3 linked regions of the Callithrix jacchus genome follow. The protein of the gene in region 2 purifies or fractionates together with the protein of the main gene of each other region. This does not show direct contact. Links are inferred from orthologs where the notes say so. Each region holds a gene or a part of one and is shown on either strand. Other genes may lie near its edges.

Evidence for each region.
Region 1: the proteins of NUMA1 (region 2) and EPB41L3 purify together in Homo sapiens (affinity purification with mass spectrometry; 3 studies listed by BioGRID and IntAct, with this or other methods). This does not show direct contact. The link is inferred for Callithrix jacchus from reciprocal best matches to the Homo sapiens genes NUMA1 and EPB41L3.
Region 3: the proteins of NUMA1 (region 2) and WDR76 purify together in Homo sapiens (affinity purification with mass spectrometry; 3 studies listed by BioGRID and IntAct, with this or other methods). This does not show direct contact. The link is inferred for Callithrix jacchus from reciprocal best matches to the Homo sapiens genes NUMA1 and WDR76.

The regions. Positions count from the first base shown.
Region 1 is NC_133514.1:57,792,495-57,796,145, reverse strand, and holds part of EPB41L3 (band 4.1-like protein 3), read right to left. Parts: intron 2,718-3,651; coding exon 2,620-2,717; intron 1,919-2,619; coding exon 1,743-1,918; intron 1-1,742. UniProt on the Homo sapiens protein: Tumor suppressor that inhibits cell proliferation and promotes apoptosis. Modulates the activity of protein arginine N-methyltransferases, including PRMT3 and PRMT5.
Region 2 is NC_133511.1:68,932,907-68,936,557, reverse strand, and holds part of NUMA1 (nuclear mitotic apparatus protein 1), read right to left. Parts: coding exon 1,980-3,651; intron 1,526-1,979; coding exon 1,484-1,525; intron 513-1,483; coding exon 435-512; intron 62-434; coding exon 1-61. UniProt on the Homo sapiens protein: Microtubule (MT)-binding protein that plays a role in the formation and maintenance of the spindle poles and the alignement and the segregation of chromosomes during mitotic cell division.
Region 3 is NC_133509.1:31,502,936-31,506,586, reverse strand, and holds part of WDR76 (WD repeat-containing protein 76), read right to left. Parts: intron 2,268-3,651; coding exon 2,141-2,267; intron 1-2,140. UniProt on the Homo sapiens protein: Specifically binds 5-hydroxymethylcytosine (5hmC), suggesting that it acts as a specific reader of 5hmC.

The sequences.
Region 1 (3,651 bases), on a different chromosome or scaffold from region 2:
TATTTTACTTAAAAGGGCTGGCTCTAAGTTTGGTATTCCAGAAACTCTCAGAAGACACACAACGGTAATAACTTCCTAGGCTAGCTCACAAAAGCCTGTAAGAATAATTATCAGTATAAAATGTGGAAAATATGTACAGCATGGAATACTACTTAGTCATAAAAATGAATGAAATTATGTATTTTGCAGTGACTTGCATGGAGCAGAAGGTCATTATTCTGCATGAAGTAATTCAGGAATGAAAAGTCAAATACCATATGTTCTCATTTGTAAGTGGGAGCTAAGCTATGGGTATGCAAAGGTACGTAGAGAAATATAATGGACACTGGAGACTCAGTAGGCAGAGAGTGGGAGACGGGTGAGGGATTAAAAAAAAACTACATATTGGGTACAATGTACACTACTCAGGTGACAGGTGCAGTAAAATCTCAGACTTCACCACTATACAATTCATCCATGTAGCCAACAACCACTTGTATCCCAAAAGCTACTGAAATATTTAAAACTGTGAAAAAAGAGTAATTATCAATAGGATTACTGAGATAATTGCCTATGTAACAAGAGCGCTTTCACATATATCTTGCTTTTCACAATAGCCCTGTCAAAGGAGGCCTTATTCTTATTACACAGATGACTAAAACAGACCTGGAGAGTTGAAATCATTTGCCAACCATCACAGAGACAGAGGGCGGCAGAACCTGGACTTGAGTCTGGATTTACCAATGCCGCATGAGTACAGTTCCCACCTCACCAGTAGCATACATAACGTAGTACTGATAATGCTATTTTGATTTCTTCTGTAAACTGTTCATAAAGTATTCCATTAGAAAAAGATGGTTGTTTTAGTTGGGAGATTTAAGGAGCACCTCTTCCCATCAATCACCTGGATAGTGAAATGGGGAAGGCAGAGCTGAGACTATCGGGAACAGTGGCAAAAAAGGTAGGGAGGGAGATGGTCCTAGGCACTTGTAACTTTTGTTTATTTTTATTTATGTTTTTCCTTATTATATAAACCATACATGCACACCACAAACTTCTAATTCTTTTTATTTGCACAGGTTAAGATCTTCTATTAAAAACAGTGAATCTCCAGGTGCTCTAAATGAGAAGACAGAGACCCAGACATAGTCCCCAAGTATTGCCACAGCAGGCACGCCTTGCTGCAGAAAGCGTGCCTTCATATTACTCCAGAGAGCAATCAAGAAACTGTTTGATAAAACAAAACGCTACTAAAAATTCACTGTTGCGTTATCCCATACAAAGGTTGTTTGAGTGATCATCTCTCCATTTGACTAATTTGACTTGGCAGTACAGAACCCCCACATAGCACTGCTCTCCCAGCCCATCTGGAGTGGTAATTAGCACAACCAGGAGAATTTAACTTACAGCCCTTTGCTCTGTCATTTGCATGCCATCCTTTCTACCAGCTATTATCAACTGATTGATAAAGGTCACATTTTATTCATAAAATTTTTTAGAGACAAATAAATTTAACTTACAGATTCATGAAACAAATAGTCTTAAGCCTACTAATCCTTTAAGATCTGTCAGCAAGGAAATCAAATCACAGACTATGTGACTATTATATTAGTCTTAAATATCTGCCATTCAGCCAATGAGCAACAACTGCTTTTCCATGTACAATATCCAGGAGGATCTATGCTTACTGAAAGCTCATGATAGTGTCGTACTCTTTTGGGGGTAGCTGCTAGGGTTATTAAGGGCCAGTAAGTGATGCCTACCTCCATCCAAGCTGCGAGACATGGTATAACGTTTGCTGGACGAGCGCTCAAAGTAAGGCGCTGGGCGATCTATCAACGCACTGGCTCTTCTCGTTTGTGCTTGTGTCCTGCCACTATAACGAAACTTGGAACCCAAGGTTAGGAATTTCTTGGGAGGTGCTTCTGGTAACAACAGTCTAGAGAGAATACAGAAAAAGAGCAGAAAGACTGCTAAGTCCAATAAAGAGAATGCTTTTTAAACTTTATACTCTGCGAGTTCATGTGTTTTGTGTGCTTAAGGTTTAACACACAACTTGCAGTTAAATAAATATGATTTCATTAAAAAAATGCACATGATATACATCAACTAGGGATGTTGTAGAGAGGATATATAAAAATTAGGGTTGTACTAAACTAGAGGAACTTTTAACATTCCATGCAAAGTGGACAGTCTATGGTTCTATAAGACCAAACAGCAACTAAGTAGGCGATATTAGTGAAGAAGAGTGATAATTTGCTATTGGATGTCTAATTTGATGGGTCTCACACTATGTGTAGGTAAGTAAAGAGAGACAGGGTATTGAGAAATCACTGAAATTGTAAGGAATTGAAATAGAAATGGATTGGCTATTTGAAGTGGACACTCTAAAAACAATGTAAACACACTAAAGATAAGAAGTGGGGGAGGTGGGACATGTAAGTACTTGACAAATTAAGGAAAATCCTTCAAATTTAGTCTTTTTCTAATTCTGTTAGGATTTCTTATCAAGAAATATGGTGAGAATGAACTTGAAGGAATAGTAAGGATAAAATTCCTTATTTCTCTTCCTGATAATCTTTTTCAGTATAAGTGATTATAATTATTCCTTAGGGAAAAATCAAAATAATCTCTTCCTACCTGAAAAATGTATGATGCTCAACACAAACTTTCCATAAACGCTTGGCCGCTCGATGGTTTGGCAGCTTAAACCCAATGGTGCTTTCAAATTGTTCAAACTAAATTAAAAAAAATACATTGAAGAGTAAAGTTTAAAATTATGAATAACAGAAGCCCTGTAAATAACTTATAAAATCATAATGCCACCAGAATTTTAAAAATTTACTAACTAGATCAATTGCTATATGCATAATTCATGCTATACACATTCACTAATTTTAAAAAAATGTGCCTTTAAAATGCTGCAGGTATAAATAACCATATTATGTATGCAGTAAAATGTCTTAAGTGTGTATCTTATGATACAACTAAAAACTAAACACAAAAAGGGTTTTTTTGATTTCTTCCAGAAATCAATTTTGCACTTTTAAACTTTTCATGGTTTCTCAATGACACAATGACTTCAACTGGAAGTTACAGAAATGAACAAAATGTTTACAGATATAGTCTACAGTATTCTTAGAAATGACATTTTTCTCCTAATATCTGGTCAGGAAATATATATATTTCTTAGGTAGTTGATGACTTGGTATCAGAGATTGCTGATTTTATTTGTGTATTCCATTATGGATTTTCAGTTTAAATGCTAATGTTTCTCTATATCATGCCTAAGACCACAGATTGGGGGAACACACTTTCATATTTTTCAGCATGTACATTTCAGATGATGATTTGTCAGCCATTTGATTTTTTGAGGTTAAATACTCATCTCATTTCCTGCATAATATACTTTATTATTGCAGACATACAAGTTTTCATATTCTGAAGAAGGTACACAGACCACCAGAGGGCAATCATCTTAAACAGCAAAGGCTTTCCAAAAGAGCAAACAAATGAACTACTGCTATAATCAATAGTAAAAATAATTTATGTAGCAAAGAACCAAGATGAGGGGTCATATGCGCAGCATGTGAGATACAATCATGCTTGACCTCTATTTCTTATTTGCTGAGGATGATTGGGGAAGTGGGAAATACATCACAATTGCTCCAA
Region 2 (3,651 bases):
TCTGCTGCTGCACCTTGCTGGCTTGGTCAGAGTCAGCCAGTTTCTTACTCAGTTCTTCCACCTGGGGAGGGAAGAGGAGGACAGGAGACTCAGGGGTTTCCCAGACCAGGATCCTTAGTGTTCCTAGAAGAAACTCAGGCCCTTTTTCTGGCCTCTATTAGGGAACAGCCTGCTGCCCAGGCTGGTTGGCAGGGCCTGAATGAGGCGACCTAACATAGATGTTGCTAGGGCCACCTGTCCATATTCGTCTCTACCCTTAGCCTGCAGAGACAGAGGCCTGCCCGACCCGTGTCACCCCCACCACCACCCTGCTGCTGCCACCACTCCACAGTGGCAACCTTCCCAGATTCTAGTCTGTAATTCTAGCAGACATAATCAATTCCCATACTTCCCTCCCAGAAACTGCCAAAGCCCAAGCCCACAGATGCTCAGACCTCTTTCCAACATCCACAGGCCGTTAGGGCTGGTGCTAGCAGCGTGGCTGCTGTGGTTAGCATTGGGGGAACAGATTGCTGGAAGACAAGAGCAGGGGCAGCACACGTACTCCAAAGCCCACCCCACTCCCACAGAGGAAGAGCACAGGGAGGTAGGGGAAGAGGGAGAATATAGCCCCACGCATCCCTGGCTGCTCTAAGCATTCTGGGAGTTCAAGCATGACTGGGCAGCACAGGGGAGAGGCAAGGGCTCCATTGCCAACTGTTTGCTGTTCACTTTGATTGTCCCCCATTATCTCAGGCTCCTTAGAGGAAGAGGAGTGCCCAATTTTTCAGCAGTCCTGGGGTGGCTGGGTAGGAGAATGATGGAGAAAGGGTGCTCTCACTAACGCCAGCTCAACAGCCTCGATGTCTCAGGCAACACAGAGATCCCCATGAGAAAGAGGCAGCCAGACCATGTGACTCCCACTTCCCCGTCCCCATCTGGTGTAGGCCCTTCCTGCTCCAGACATCTCTATGCTGTGCTCAGAGTTAGAGCCCCAGAAAGTGATGGGCAAGTGTCTTGAGCCTATAATCCTAACCCGTGGGGGCTGCCTTGCTTATCACCTTCAAGGCTTCCATAAAGCCATACTCTGGGCAAAAGGGTACCAGGTTAAACAAGGCCCACAGGTAATTCTGCTGTTCCTCTTAGTGGAGTATTCTTAACTGGTCACAGGACTTGGGAAGTTTGGGAATCCCAAGGACTGTGTCCGTCATTGGTTCAGGTGTGGGAAAGATGAAGCCAGTGCCACCCCTTGTCCCTGACAGGCAGATGAGAGAAGGTGCAGAAGGGTGGAGAGGCCGACCTGGGACGGGTGGGATGAGGCCCGAGAGAGAGCCCAGAACACCGCACTCCTGGGCAGCCTGGGCCTGGATTCCATGGCTTGACCCTGCCCCCTTCACAAACAGTTCACAACAGGAGCTGGTGGAGGCAAGCTGCAGCCGGGCTCATGCACTGAGACTGGTCACCGTTTAAGCAGCCAGCATTTAGCGAGGACCCCAGGCATTACCTGCTTAGTTTGCTCTCTCTGAAATATCTCTAGCTGCTCCACCTGTACATGGGGGAGGAGCAACGGAGACAGAGTGAGATGGGGCCAAACAGGCACCAGCCCTGCTGCCAGGCTCACCTCACTGAGGCCCTGATACTCTCCCCCAAGGAGCTAGATTGACAGTACGTTTAAAAATGCCAGTTAGGCTTATTCTAGTCCCTGGCAGCTCCTGAGGCATCCAGTGCAAGTGTGCCTCTGGAACGGGCTGGTGGTAATCTCAACTTGACTCTCTAGTGACAGAGCCTTCAGGGGAGGGGAGGCCACTGATATTTTCTTGAGGATGACAGGGGCAACAGACTTGAACTCCACCAGCCACCTCTCCTTTTCTGCCACCCAGTCAATGAGGAAAAGCAAGACACTCCAGTGTAGGAGCCAGAGGCCCTGGAACACAGAGGATGGATGTCCCCGCACTCTCAGCTCCTGATCTTTGGGGCAGTGGTTGGGCTGAGTACCTTACCTGGGCAGTGAGTTTCTGCCTCTCTTCCTGGAACCGCTGCCTCTCCTCCAGGACCTTGACCTTGGCACCCTCATACTTGGCAGTCATCACCTCCAGCTCCCGCGCAGTGCTCTGTGCTTCCCGCTGCACCTCAGCCAGACGGGTCTCAGCATCAGCACGCACGGCTGCCAACTCTTGGACATACTTCTCCCGGGCCTGGTCCAGCTCCACTTCCAAAAATTGCCGGCCAAGGTTGGCCCGCTCACCCAGCCCTCGGTTCTCCTCTGCCAGCAGGCCATGTGCTTTCTTCAGCATGCTCAGCTGTTCTGCATAGCTGGCCTTCTCTGCCCGCAGCTGCTGAGCTGTTCGCTCCTGCTCTGCCACCTTCTGTCGAAGAGGAATCAGCTCCCCAAGCTCCCGCTGGGCCCGCAGCAGTTCTGCCCGCAGCCCCCCAGCTGCCTGCTTGCTCTGCTCCAGCTCCTCGCGGTGGCGCTTCTCAGCAGCAGCCTGCTCGGCCTGGAGCTGCTGGCAGAGGTGCTTAGCAGGCAGCAGCTCACTCACCAGGGCCTGTGTGCTGGTGTGCTCGAGCTGCAGGGCGGAGAGGGCCTGTTCTTTCTGGAAGAACTTCTCCTGCCACGCCTTCAATTCTTGGCCCAGCTCCTCTGCACGCTCAGCTTGTGAGGTCAGCTCCTGCCGCAGGTTCTCTGAAGCCACCCGCTGTTTCTCGGCCTCCTCCCGGAGGCTCCGCACCTCCTCCCGCAGGGCAGAGCTGCGTTCTGCAGCTCTGGCACTGTTGCTAGCTGTCTCTGCCTGGAGCAGGTGCAGCCTCTCCTCCAGCTTCTTGCTCTTCTCTGACTCGGCCATCACCAGCCGCTTCAACTCCTTGCTCTCCCCTTCTTTCTCCAGGACCTGGCGATTCAGGATGGACACCTCCTCCTCCAAGCTGCTGATGAGGCTATTTTTCCTCTCAGCCTCCTGCCGGCCCCGGGCCACCTGGACCTTCCACTCATCCTCAGCCTTGCTGTGGTCTTGTGCCTTGGTGTGGAGGGCAGCCAGTTCTCTCTGGGCCGAGGCTAAGGCGCTCTGACTGTGTCCCAGCTCCTTGGCCTTCTCCTCTAACTGGCCCTGCAGAGTCTCCAGAGCATTGTCACACTCAGCCCGGGAGGCCCGCTCAACCTTGAGGCTGCATTCCAGGCTGTCGACCTGTTTCTGCTGCTGCTGGCACTGCTCCTCCAGCTTAATCACCTCTGCTCGCAGCGCCTCCAGCTTGGGGCCTGTTGGCTCTGTCCTGCCAGCAGCCTCAGACTGGACTCCCGAACCAGATGTGTGCTCCTTTTCTTTCTTAGCCAGCTGTTCCTTCAGTTGCTTCATGGTTTGCCGAAGCTCCTCCAGCTCTTTCATCTGGGCTGCCTCCAGGCCACGAAGCTTGGCCAACTCCTGGTCCTTGCCTTCCTTTTCCGTCAGGGCATGGGCCAGTGCCTCTTGCAGGGTAGCAAACTCCACACGCTGCTCATTGAGGGCGTTCTGCAGCCGCATCTCCAGCTCTGCTTTGGCCGCCTTCTCCAGGGCAAGATCAGCTTGGGCCCGGCCCCGCTCCTGGGTCAGCCGCGCCACCTCCCTCTCCTGCTGCCCACGCTCCTCCTGCTGCCGCCCCTGGCTCTCCATCAGTGCGGCCCGCAGCCGCTCCAGCTCA
Region 3 (3,651 bases), on a different chromosome or scaffold from region 2:
ATGTAAACACAGGAGGACAAGGGTATTTGTCTGTTTTTCTACAACTTCACTTTCTACATCAGCAATTAATGGTGGCATATCATAGACATTCAAAATAATTGTTCCATAAATGAATGTCAGGTACCCTATAAAGTAATAATAACATGTATTATCTCATTAAATCCTCTCAACAACATAGTGAATGAGGTATCACATTTTAAAGACACCGAATTCAAACTTAGGGAAGTTAACTTGCCCAAAGCCACAGAGCCAATAACTAAAGAAGCTGAGAATTGATTCAGATTATCTTAACTCATTACTCAGTATTATACTGAGTATACCACATTAGTATTTTGTTGTTGTTGTTGTTGTTGTTGCAGAAAGGTGATTTTATTTAGGTAGAAAGAAGAGAAGGAAAGGAGTAGAGAAAGGCTTCCATGAAAAGTGTGGAAGGGGATTCCAGAGGGGAAATCTGGGAGGGAGCTCCTACCTTGTGGGAGGGGATAATATTTTTTTCTTTTGGGAGGGGGGATAGTATTTTTTTAAACACAGTTTGTAACACATAAATGGGTGAGAAATCATGTTAATATGTCGCAACTAGCAATTTGTTTCAGTGAATGAGAATAAAATAGAAATACCAGCCAGGTGTGGTGGCTCATGCCTGTAATCCCAGCACTTTCAGAGGCCAAGGTAGGCAAATCTCTTGAGGCCAGGAGTTTGAGACCATCCTAAACAACATGATGCTCTCACCTCAGCCTCCTGAGGATCTGGGACTATAGGCACATGCCACTACACCCAGCTAATTTTTGTATTTTTTGTAAGGACAGGGTCTCTTTATGTTGGCTAGGCTGGTCTCAAACTCCTGGGCTCAAGTGATTGTCCTGCCTCAGCCTCCCAAAGTGCTAGGATTACAGGCATGAGCCACTATACCTGGCCATAAATATATTTATTGTGGGCTGAGGCTTCAAAAAAATGTGAAAGCTATTCTTCTATGCTGCTTCCCATAACACCTAGATTTGCAATTTGCTCCGAAAGCACCAGCCTAATTAGTGCCACTTTCCTATTTACAATTAAATGCTTAGATATAAAATATTAAAAAATAGGTGTTCTTGAATAAAAAAAAAATTTTAGACAATAAGTTTGCTAAATAAAATGCTACTCATTAAAATTAACATTAATAACTAGTTTATTGATTACTAAGACCTTAATACAATGTGAGAAACTTTACAGATATGATTTCATTTATGCTCACAATAGCTCTTTAGAGGTTTCTTTTTATTTTGAGACAGGGTCTTACTCTGTTAACCAAGATGGAATGCAGTGGCATGTTCTTGGCTCATTGCAATCTCCACTTCCCAGGTTCAATTGATTCTCCTGCCTCAGCCACCCAAGTAGCTGGGACTACAGGTGTGTGCCACCACACCCAGCTAATATTTTTGTATTTTTCAGTAGAGACAGGTGTCATCATACCAGACAGGCTGGTCTCAAACTCCTGACCTCATGATCTGACAACCTCGGCCTCCCAAAGTGCTGGGATTATAGGCATGAACCACCACGCCTAGCGGAGGTTTCTTTTTTTTTTTTTAACTGACATAAAATTGTACATATTTACTGAGAGTTCTATTATTGCTGACATTTTTTAAATGGGGAAATGATCAGAAAGGTTAATTAACTCACCCACAATCCTACAGCTGGTAAGCCCTGCAGAAATACAGAATCCAATCCAGTCTTTATGACTTTGAAATCTTACTCATTAATCCGTAACAAGTCAGGCGCAGTGGCTCACACCTGTAATACCAGCACTTTGGGACGCCAAGGCAGGTGGATAAATTGAGGTCAGGAGTACAAGACCAATGTGGTCAGCATAGTGAAACTCCGTCTCTATCAAACATATAAAAAATCAGCCAGGTATAATGGCATGCACCTGTAATCCCACATACTCGGGAGGCTGAGGCAGGAGAATCACTTGAACCTGAGAGGAGGGGGTTCCATGCTACTGTACTCCAGCCCGGGCAACAGAGCAAGATTCCGTCTCAAAAAAAAAAATTCAAAAATGAAATATAAAATTAAACATAATCTAATGAACTTTTGGTCTACTTTCAACACTTCAAATTTTTCAGTATTTTATTAAGTAATATACTGTATTTGCACATTTTCTTACAGTTTCATCTGCTACTAATGCCGGTGGTACTGGAGTTGCTGGTAATAAAACTCCTGAAGGATCAGCTTTTAGTAATCGCATTGACCTTCTACATCCAATCCCATTTTCTCTCTTCTTAGGCTTCTTTCTAAAGGAGTAGGGAAAAATTCCTGTTATACTCGCAAAACAATAAAATATATTTACTAATATTAAAGAGGTAACTTCTAGGAATGTGTCCCACAGATACAGTTAAACACTGCATAGCTATATATACATGACCACAATTATCTTAATAAGAAGTATGGAAGAAACTTAAACCTAAATGTTCATCATAGGGAGGTGAGGGATGTTAGATAAATTATAGTATACATATCTAATAGAATAATATGCAACCATAAAAACAATGATATAGATCTTTATGTACTGCTGAAAGGAACCCTAGGTTATAAAAAGCAAAAACAGGATGGGCGAGGTGGCTCATGCCTGAAATCCCAGCACTTTGGGAGGCCGAGGCAGGCAGATCACAAGGTCAAAAGATTGAGACCATTCTGGCCAGCATGGTAAAACCTTGTCTCTACTAAAAATACAAAACTTAGCTGGGTGTGGTGGCACGCACCTGTAGTCCCATCTACTCGGGAGGCTGAGGCAAGAGAATCACTTGAACCCAGGAGGTGGAGGTTACAGTGAGCCAAGATCGCACCATTGCACACCAGTCTGGCAACAGAATAACACTTCATCTCCTGCCCCCTCACCCCAAAAATGCAAAATTACATTAAAAAAAAAAAAAAAAGCGGGCACAGTGGCTCACACCTGTAATCCCAGCACTTTGAGAAGCCAAGGCAGGTGGATCATGAGGTCAGGAGTTTGAGACCAGCCTGGCCAACATGGCGAAACCCTGTCATTACTAAAAATGCAAAAATTAGCTGGGCGTGGTGGCGGGTACCTGTAATCCCAGCTACTTGGAAGGCTGAGGCAGGAGAATCCCTTGAACCAGGGAGGCAAAGGTTGCAGTGAGCTGAGATTGTGCCATTGCACTCCAGCCTGGGCGACAAGAGCAAGACTGTCTCCAAAAAAAAAAGAAAAAGCAAAAACAAAGTCCAGTACATGTTTACAAAAAGGTTACATAAACATATAAATTTGCACATGCTGAGGTTACCTATGGAGGAATACATATAAAACTACTACTTGTAGGGAAAAGACCTGGAAAACTAAGGTCTAAAATAGGAAGGAAACTTAAATGTTGCACTGCATTCCCTTCCAAACATTATAGTTTACCTTTTAAATCATACACATTCCCTATTTTTTATGTACTATTTTTGCATTTAAAAAAAGTAAAGTATGACTGGGTACGGTGGCTCACACCTGTAATCCCAGCACTTTGGGAAGCCGAGGTAGGCAGATCACAAGGTCAAGAGTTCAAGACCAGCCTGGCTAACATAGTGAAACCACATCTCTACAAAAATACAAAAATTTGCCAGGCATGGTGGCGCACTCCTGTAGTCCCAGCTACTTGGGAGGCTGAGGCGAGAGAA